Rattus norvegicus: one gene and its partner. The protein of the gene in region 2 purifies or fractionates together with the protein of the main gene of each other region. This does not show direct contact. Links are inferred from orthologs where the notes say so. Each region holds a gene or a part of one and is shown on either strand. Other genes may lie near its edges.

The links. The genes of interacting proteins can lie anywhere in the genome.
Region 1: the proteins of Gls (region 2) and Sirt5 purify together in Homo sapiens (affinity purification with western blotting; 3 studies listed by BioGRID and IntAct, with this or other methods). This does not show direct contact. The link is inferred for Rattus norvegicus from reciprocal best matches to the Homo sapiens genes GLS and SIRT5.

Annotation. Positions count from the first base shown.
Region 1 is NC_086035.1:21,540,257-21,544,548, forward strand, and holds the start of Sirt5 (NAD-dependent protein deacylase sirtuin-5, mitochondrial), read right to left. Parts: upstream 2,801-4,292; 5' UTR 2,788-2,800; exon of another isoform or gene 2,374-2,787; intron 1-2,373. UniProt on the Homo sapiens protein: NAD-dependent lysine demalonylase, desuccinylase and deglutarylase that specifically removes malonyl, succinyl and glutaryl groups on target proteins.
Region 2 is NC_086027.1:56,874,584-56,878,083, reverse strand, and holds part of Gls (glutaminase kidney isoform, mitochondrial), read right to left. Parts: intron 2,199-3,500; coding exon 2,132-2,198; intron 1,619-2,131; coding exon 1,568-1,618; intron 800-1,567; coding exon of another isoform or gene 785-799; exon of another isoform or gene 771-784; intron 1-770. UniProt on the Homo sapiens protein: Catalyzes the first reaction in the primary pathway for the renal catabolism of glutamine. Plays a role in maintaining acid-base homeostasis. Regulates the levels of the neurotransmitter glutamate, the main excitatory neurotransmitter in the brain.

The DNA of each region.
Region 1 (4,292 bases), on a different chromosome or scaffold from region 2:
TAGGACTCAGCAGCAATCCAGGCTGGCCTGGAACTCACGGCAGTTCTCCTGTCTAAACTTCCCGATTGCTGGGATAACAGATGTGAGCCACCAAGCCCAGGCTCCACTGTTGTTTGCCTCGCACAACATGAACATCAGTGACAAGAGGATAAAGACCAGAGGATACCACCTGTAGGTGGCGCTGTGTGGAAAAGGAGAAGATGGAAGCTCTAGGACATTGCTTGGACTATGGTTTCTTAGCTAGGACCCCAAACACAGGGAATCAAAGCAGAAACAAGCAGGGTGGTAAAGGAATCAGTCATTTACACAGTGGGAAAATATTTCAGATTATACATCTGATAAATGCTAATGTCTAAAATATATGGAGGGGGTTAGAGAGATGGCTCAGCAGTTAAGAGCACAGGCTGCTCTTCCAGGGATCAGAGTTTGATTCCTAGCATTTGTTTGGTGGTTCATAACCATCTGTAACTGTAATTCTAGGGAACCCAACACCCTGTTCTAGCCTCCTGAGACATTGGACATACATAGTTTGTAGAAATATATGTTAGCAAAACACCCATACACATATTCTTTTAATCTCAGAAAATGTTAAATAACTTAAATAAAATAAAATATATGGAGATATAATATATATTATATAAATTATAATATATTATATAGTATATTATATAAATTAATATATTATATATAATTTTTATAATATATATAAATATTTATAATATATTTATATGTATATAATATATATATGAGATGACTCCAAGGATAAAGGCATTTACCACAGCCTGAAGACCTGAGTTCAATCCCAAGAGTCAAATGTTAGGAGAGAACCAACTCCTGCAAGATGTCCTCTGACCTCCACACGTGTCCCATGCCATGATCCTGTATGTATACACACACACACACACACACACACACACACACAGTATACACAGTTTACGCACACAGTATACCCACACAGAATACATACACACAGTATACACATGCACACACACAAACACACACACACACACATACACACACGGTGCAAGAAAGCCACTTAATTTTAGAACCCTAAATTAAGCAGCAGGGCACCTGAATGGGTATTTCTCAAAGGAAGACATCGGGACAATGGAATTAAGCCACAATGAACTATCGCCACAAATCTACTGGAAGTGGCTGTTATGAAAAAGACAAAAGCTAACGTTAACAAAGGGTGTGGATGAAAAGGAACTGTGACGGGCTGGAGAGATGGCTCAGCGGTTAAGCCTGCTCTTCTAGAGAACCTGAGTTCAAGTCCCAGCAACCACAGGGTGGCTCACAACCAACTATAATGGGATCCGATGCCCTCTTCTGGTGTGTCTGAAGATGTTGACAGTGTATCCACATATATAAATAAATAAATCTTTTTTTTTTAAAGTCCAAGAAAAGGAACTGCGTCAGTTAGCATAACTGTGTCAGTTAGCATAGCCATTTTGATAAACAATATGGAGATCTCTCAAAAACCTCAAACCAGAATTAGCATGTGCTCTAGCAAGCCCCCTCCCTCCTGGCTTGTTCTGAAGGGATTGAAGATCGTGTGGGCAGGAGGCATCTGCGCTCCGATGTTAATTGTGGCGTCACCCACACGGAAGCAATCTAGGTGTTAACCAACAGAAGAAGAGGCAAGGGTAGCAATGCAGTATCAGAAGAACGGGTTCTATCATTTGGATGACCCTGCTAGCATAAGTGAACTAAGCTAAGCTAAGCACAGCAGGGCAGCGGTACCGATTTCACAGGAGGGGCAGATAAAGGTCAAACACACCGAAGCAAAGAGCAATGATGGTCAACAGAGGCTGGGTGTGGGGAACAAGATGGGGTCATGGGGATGACTGTCAAAGGGCACGGACCCTAGGCTGGAGAGAGAATAAGACTGACTGAGGTTTTGCAGGGCACAGCAACCATAGTTGATAATGAAGCGATATGTGTACATTTCAAAACTTAAAAACGAGTGGACTAGAAAGGTTCTTGCTAAAACATTGCGAGATGACAGACATATTAGTTAGCTTGGCTCTCTCTTCATATATACAATATATGCATATATTAAAACACCCCCATTGCGGCCCAGAAATATACACAATCAACTGAAACGCAGGAGGAGTCATGGGACAGAAGACAAGGCAACTGGACTGCAGGAAAGCTCACAGGCCTTCCGTAAAGGCTTTTAGGACACCACAAATGAGATCAGTACCCCAGCAGCCCCAGGCCCTGACGCCGACCCGCTCAACTCACATCTGCTCCAGTCAGGGGTATCTAACCCTGCCATCTAACCCTAAAGAAGGGTACAGCCCAGGACCCAGCTGATCACACGTGTGTGCCCAGCCTCCAGCCCCCACCCTATGAGGGTTTTCGGCCTACCTCGCTCCTATCTCCCATCTGGAAAACTGCGCCACTCCCACCCCACCCCCCACGCAGAACTTTGCGGCGCCATCCTCCCGGCTCGTGGCTTGATTTTGACCTTTCCCCCTCCCTCTGGTGCCAAGATCATCAAATCCTGCCCGCTCTACCTTCAGGCTGTGTCGCGATCCTACCCTTTCTGCACTCCCACACCCACTACTACAACCGGCCCTTGTCACCTTAGCCAAAGTGCCCTTCCTTCCGGTCACTGCCTTCCCGGGCCCAGCTGCTCTCTTGGGTTTCTCTCCTACGCGTAGCCCATCCAGCCGCCCACAAGGTCGCTGCGGTACCCACCCGCACCCAGGCGCGCATGCGCGGGATGCGGCGCGCGGAGCCTTGACAAAGCTGGGAGCCCGAACAGGGCCCGAGACGAACCTGCAAAAGGCGGTGGGGACGGTGCAGGCACGAGAGGTCTGGGGAGGAGCGCACCGACTCCTGGTGTCGCACCCCGGCTGCAGCGGCCCCTGCCGGAGACCGGGAGCGCGGCAAAATATTGGTGGGACTGCGAGGCAGTGGAGGGTGAGGCGACTTGGATGTGTCTTTGTGACCTTCCAAGATCCATTCCTCTGTCCAAATAGGTCACGAACTAACGCCTACTCTGTTGCCTCCTTGAGCACGCTGGAGGATGGCAGTTTCAGTACCGAGCTTAGCAAAATCAGAGTCGTTTCCCCTGAAATTCTGCGGCAAACCCTGGCGAGTAGCCCTCCATCACCCACGGGTTCTAGCATTCGTGGTATTGTATTTCATCAAAGTCCTAGGGACTTCCCCCCATATCCCAGCCCTGATGCACCATCCACTCCAACCTTTTTTCTAGGCTTGGAAAGGCCACCTTTCCCCAACCTCCGCACTCAAGATATGGTCTGTAGTGGAAGTTCCTGTTTGTGACCTGTGATGCTGAGGCAAGACCCATGGGAGGTCACCGTGATGTTTGGAGAGCACAAGGACCCAATGGACAGTGATGAGGTGCTTGCCTAACTAGCTTTGCAACGCTTGGTTGGTCTCAAGTCTTTGCTGATTTTTGCTTTGCTGAGGGAGGCGCAGCAAAGAACTCTTCCTGGTGTCCCAGCGGGTCCAATTGGGCGGAGGCCTGGCAGTTTCTGCTGGATCGTGCTGCCACTGCTGACTCGTGTTTGGTATCCTAAAACTAGTGAACTGGACTGCTGGTATCCTGACAGTGGAGATGAGAATCACTGCAAACAACTATTTCTAAACGAGTCCACATCTCCTTGTCCTTTTTACCATTTTTTATTTCTCCCCAACCTTTGGACAGTGGGCTAGAAGGAGGGTCAAAGCATTTGAGAACCCTTACTAAAAGTAGGTTTTGAAAGCTCTCAGCCTATAATGTTTCCTCAATATTTTGGAATCAGTGGCCAAGGGAGTGCCAGAGGGCAGGAAAATGTAATGTCTGTGATGAGACTTCCCAGGCTCAGGCTTTACTCAGGTCAGACTTGAAACTTGGTGATCCATACCACGGTAGGTGCACATGGTAAAAGATGCCACCAGAAAGGCATCTGGGGAGCTGGGAGGGTAATAGAGAAGAGTCTCACAAGCAGGAAGGATTACAGACCTTTGAAAAGCAATCTCCTCTAAGGAGAGACAAAGGCATGTTGAACCGCTGAGTGAGAATCAACGGTGCTTCTGAGGTTTCGGCGAGCAGTAGTTCCATGCACTGTATGGTTATGGTTTTTGACCATACAGGTGCTTGAAAGTGGAAATGGCTGATATAAAACTAAAGCTCACTGGTTCACTGAACTCTGCAGTGCTTAGATTCTGAGGAACTATTCCAGGGCCTCTAGAAACTTTAAGGAAGCTGGATTCATAGCCAGGCAGTGGTGATGGACACCTTTAATCCCAGCAAAGGCAGAGGCAGAGAGGCAGAA
Region 2 (3,500 bases):
AGAACATTGACAACATTAATAATATACCTCACAAAACCCAAAGTTACCCATAAACCTAAAATAATGTTCCTTCACATTTTACTCTTAATTAGCAGCAACCAAGGGGAGAAGAATAGCTTCCCTAATCAAGTTGTTACACTGACCCACAGAGCAAAAGTCTTATTAGGAAAATAGTTTCTAAAAGAAGTAACATTTAGCCAGGTATGGTTGTAAACAAAAACCCCTGCATAGCTCAGTACTGTGAGTTGGAGGCCAGCCAGAACCCATCTCAAAAGAGAGAAGGAGAGCTTTAAATTCCTATTATCACTGCCTGAGTGGGCAAATACTTTCAGAAGTAAACTTTAAATTCCCATTTAAATAATTTTCTAATTTATACTTAGGATTAATCAGAATTTTGCTTTTCATAGAGGATTGAAATTCCCATTATCACTACCTAAGAAGGGAAGAACTTTTTAAAACAAAATAATTTCCCTTAATTGTGTCCTAATTAAGTATTAATCAATTCACTTATCATAAAGTAATAGTCTCCTAACTGGACAAATATCAATTTAAAAATGATTTCCTGAAAGCATGATGTTCTCTTAGTAAAATCCATTTCTCCACAGAATATAGTAACACCACCATGGGTGTCTCCTGATTTCTATACTAAAGATTTGAAATTTTACAATAGATTAGTAGTATTAATCTAACTGTAATAGCCAAAATTAAATGTTTTATAGGTTAGAGTAAAACTGACACTAATTTCAGGTGAGTTTTGAGGAGTTACTCACGTCTCATGATATGTTCAGTGTTGTATTTGCTGGTAAATGAAATAGGTCATTCTTGAATTAATGTTATATTGATAGACTGAATCCCCACTACAGCTCTCACACTAAGTAAATAAGAATCTGAGACCTGCACTCCCATCGAGCTATCTTCTAAAGATACTATAAGGTTAAAAATCAAAGCACCTTCACAGGTAAAGACAAACACAAAGTAAATGAGAAAATTAAAAATGTAGTCTACACATCTCCACATTACAGCATGATTTACATGGGGAAGGGAGGGATTTCCAAGAAGACTGTCCTAAACTGATGTCTGCACCATAGGAAATTATGTGTGTGGGATGCTCCTGACATTGACATCCTAACTTAGAGGCCCAGGCATACTACATGACACATGTGCTGAACAATTCTCAATGCCAAATGAATCAGATAAAAAAAGATGCAGTTAAGAGGATAACAAGACAGCAGAAAAGAATGACACTTCAAAATATTGCTAGACACCCTCTGAAAAAAGTTTTTCCAAGGCAAATATAAAATCTATAAAAGTACAACAGGAGAAATCAGGTTTTAAAACTGTCCCTCTTCATCTAAATGTATTTCTACACTGTTTCCCACCTCCCGTTCTCATGTGTGGGTTCTTAGGATATATGGACTTGAAGCAACCTTTCATGACATCTGAAAGTCAATGGAAATTTATTCTCTCATGGCCTAGAGTCAGGATTTCTAAGACATCTATATTTTATAAAATGTGACAGAGCTATTTACTTACAAAGATAATTCAAACAACTAAGAGTAAAAATTACCTGGAAATAAAAATCTAGTATCCCAACCATGTCTGTGCCTTCTGGAAAACACTGGAAAAGAGCAAAATCCCAAAATACAGAAAAGCAATGAAAACATGAGCAAACAAAAAACCAGACAAAAAAAGTACACAAAAAAACACACCAGTATTTAACTTTAAGGTACATAAAATGTTTTACTTTGCCATAAAAGAATATAATAATAAAATAAATTTACATCATGTTATATAAAATTCCTAAATTTTAACCATTAAATAATTTATAATCATATAACCTTACATTTCTTTAAAGTAGTCAAATACTGCACTTAAAAAAAAAACAAACTAAAAAAAAAAAAAAAAAAAAAAAAAAAAAAAAAAAACAAACTAACCAGAATTTGTACGAATGTAGTCAAATATTTTAATACTACCAAATACATAAATTAAATATTAATGAGTAATAGGCTAACACTGACTCAAGAGTGTTTTGTAAAAACTTTTTACTTTATATAATTAAAGGCTAATGTAGAGTTCTTAGATGTCCTTTTATTAAACAAAAGTAACATTGAATAGGAAAAAAATGTAAAACCTTCTTTTCTTTTAAGTAATATCCTATTGCAAAATTTCGGTCTCCACTTTCTCGTTCAGATTGAAACCTAGAAGAAAAAAATTATGATTGTTCTTGAATTGTTTAACAAAAGTACAGTATAAAGACTGTGATCTAGCACTCAGGCCTGTTGGGTTCTGTCTCAGTTCTCTCAACAGAACAGTCCCATTCCCTTGGGCAGCAAGCCTTTTCTTACAACGAAAGGAGTGACATCAATTCATCTTTTCTAAATTTCATACATCCTGAACATAGAAGCTAATTTTAAAATGCCAAACTGAAATAAGCTGAAATGGCTTGTCAAACTGTCTTTTAGAATCATAATATACAGTGACGTGAGGGAGCTGACAGAATGTCAAAACAGCTGACACATAAAACGGAACCTGGAACAGTCACTGGATTAAAGTGTCATGTTCCATGAAGCAGGAGCAATTACTAAAGTATGAAAGTAGAACCTCCAGGACAATTTTTTTGTTGTTGCTTTTTATTTTTTAAGACACTGTATGTCACCCTAGTTGTCTAGAATTTGCTTTGTAGACCAGGTTGGTCTTGAACTTAGCAATCTGCCTGCCTCTATCCGTCAAGTGCTGTGATTGAATTAAAGGTGTGAACTACTATAGCCCAGCTGTCAAATATTTTTAATGTCATGTGTGATTGGCCTGCATGTATGTCTGTGCACCACTTGTGTGCTTCATTCCCATGGAGGCAGAAGAGGTCCCCAGTCCCCTGGAACTAGCAGCTGGTTTTTAGCCACCAAGTAGGTGAACTCAGGTCCTTTGGAAGACCAGCCACAGATCTTATCCATGAGCCATCTCATCTCTTCAATCCTTGGGGACCAAAATTTTAGAGGTATTAAATGTCAAAACCTAGAACATAATCTGGAATACTTAATCAAGTTTCCCTGTCAAACTCTGACAGTAGTTGGGGAAAGAAAAAGGAGTGAAATAGCAGACTACTGAAATGAGCTGAAGAAGGCCTGCATTTAAGTAGGAGTTATACAGTCAAACAGATGATTAAGTCTTTCATAGGAAACAGAAGAGACACAGAAGTCTTGCCTTAAAGCTTTCTATAATATAACCTACAAAGGGATCCCTGGAGTAATTAAAAAGAAAGAATTATCATGAAAACAAATTACACAGTACATCTGAGAGATCAACCTGTAAAAGTCCAGAAGCAGAATAGTATTTTTGCTGAGTAGTGGCAGAAATAAGAGTGACATTCAGTATTACCTTTAACATTTCTAACAGTAATAAATAGGGAAAAGCTCTTATCCTGTTCTTCCCTCCTTTCCCTCCTGGCACTAGAGAATAGATAAGGTATTTTACATAAGTGCTCTACCAATGAGCCATTTCCC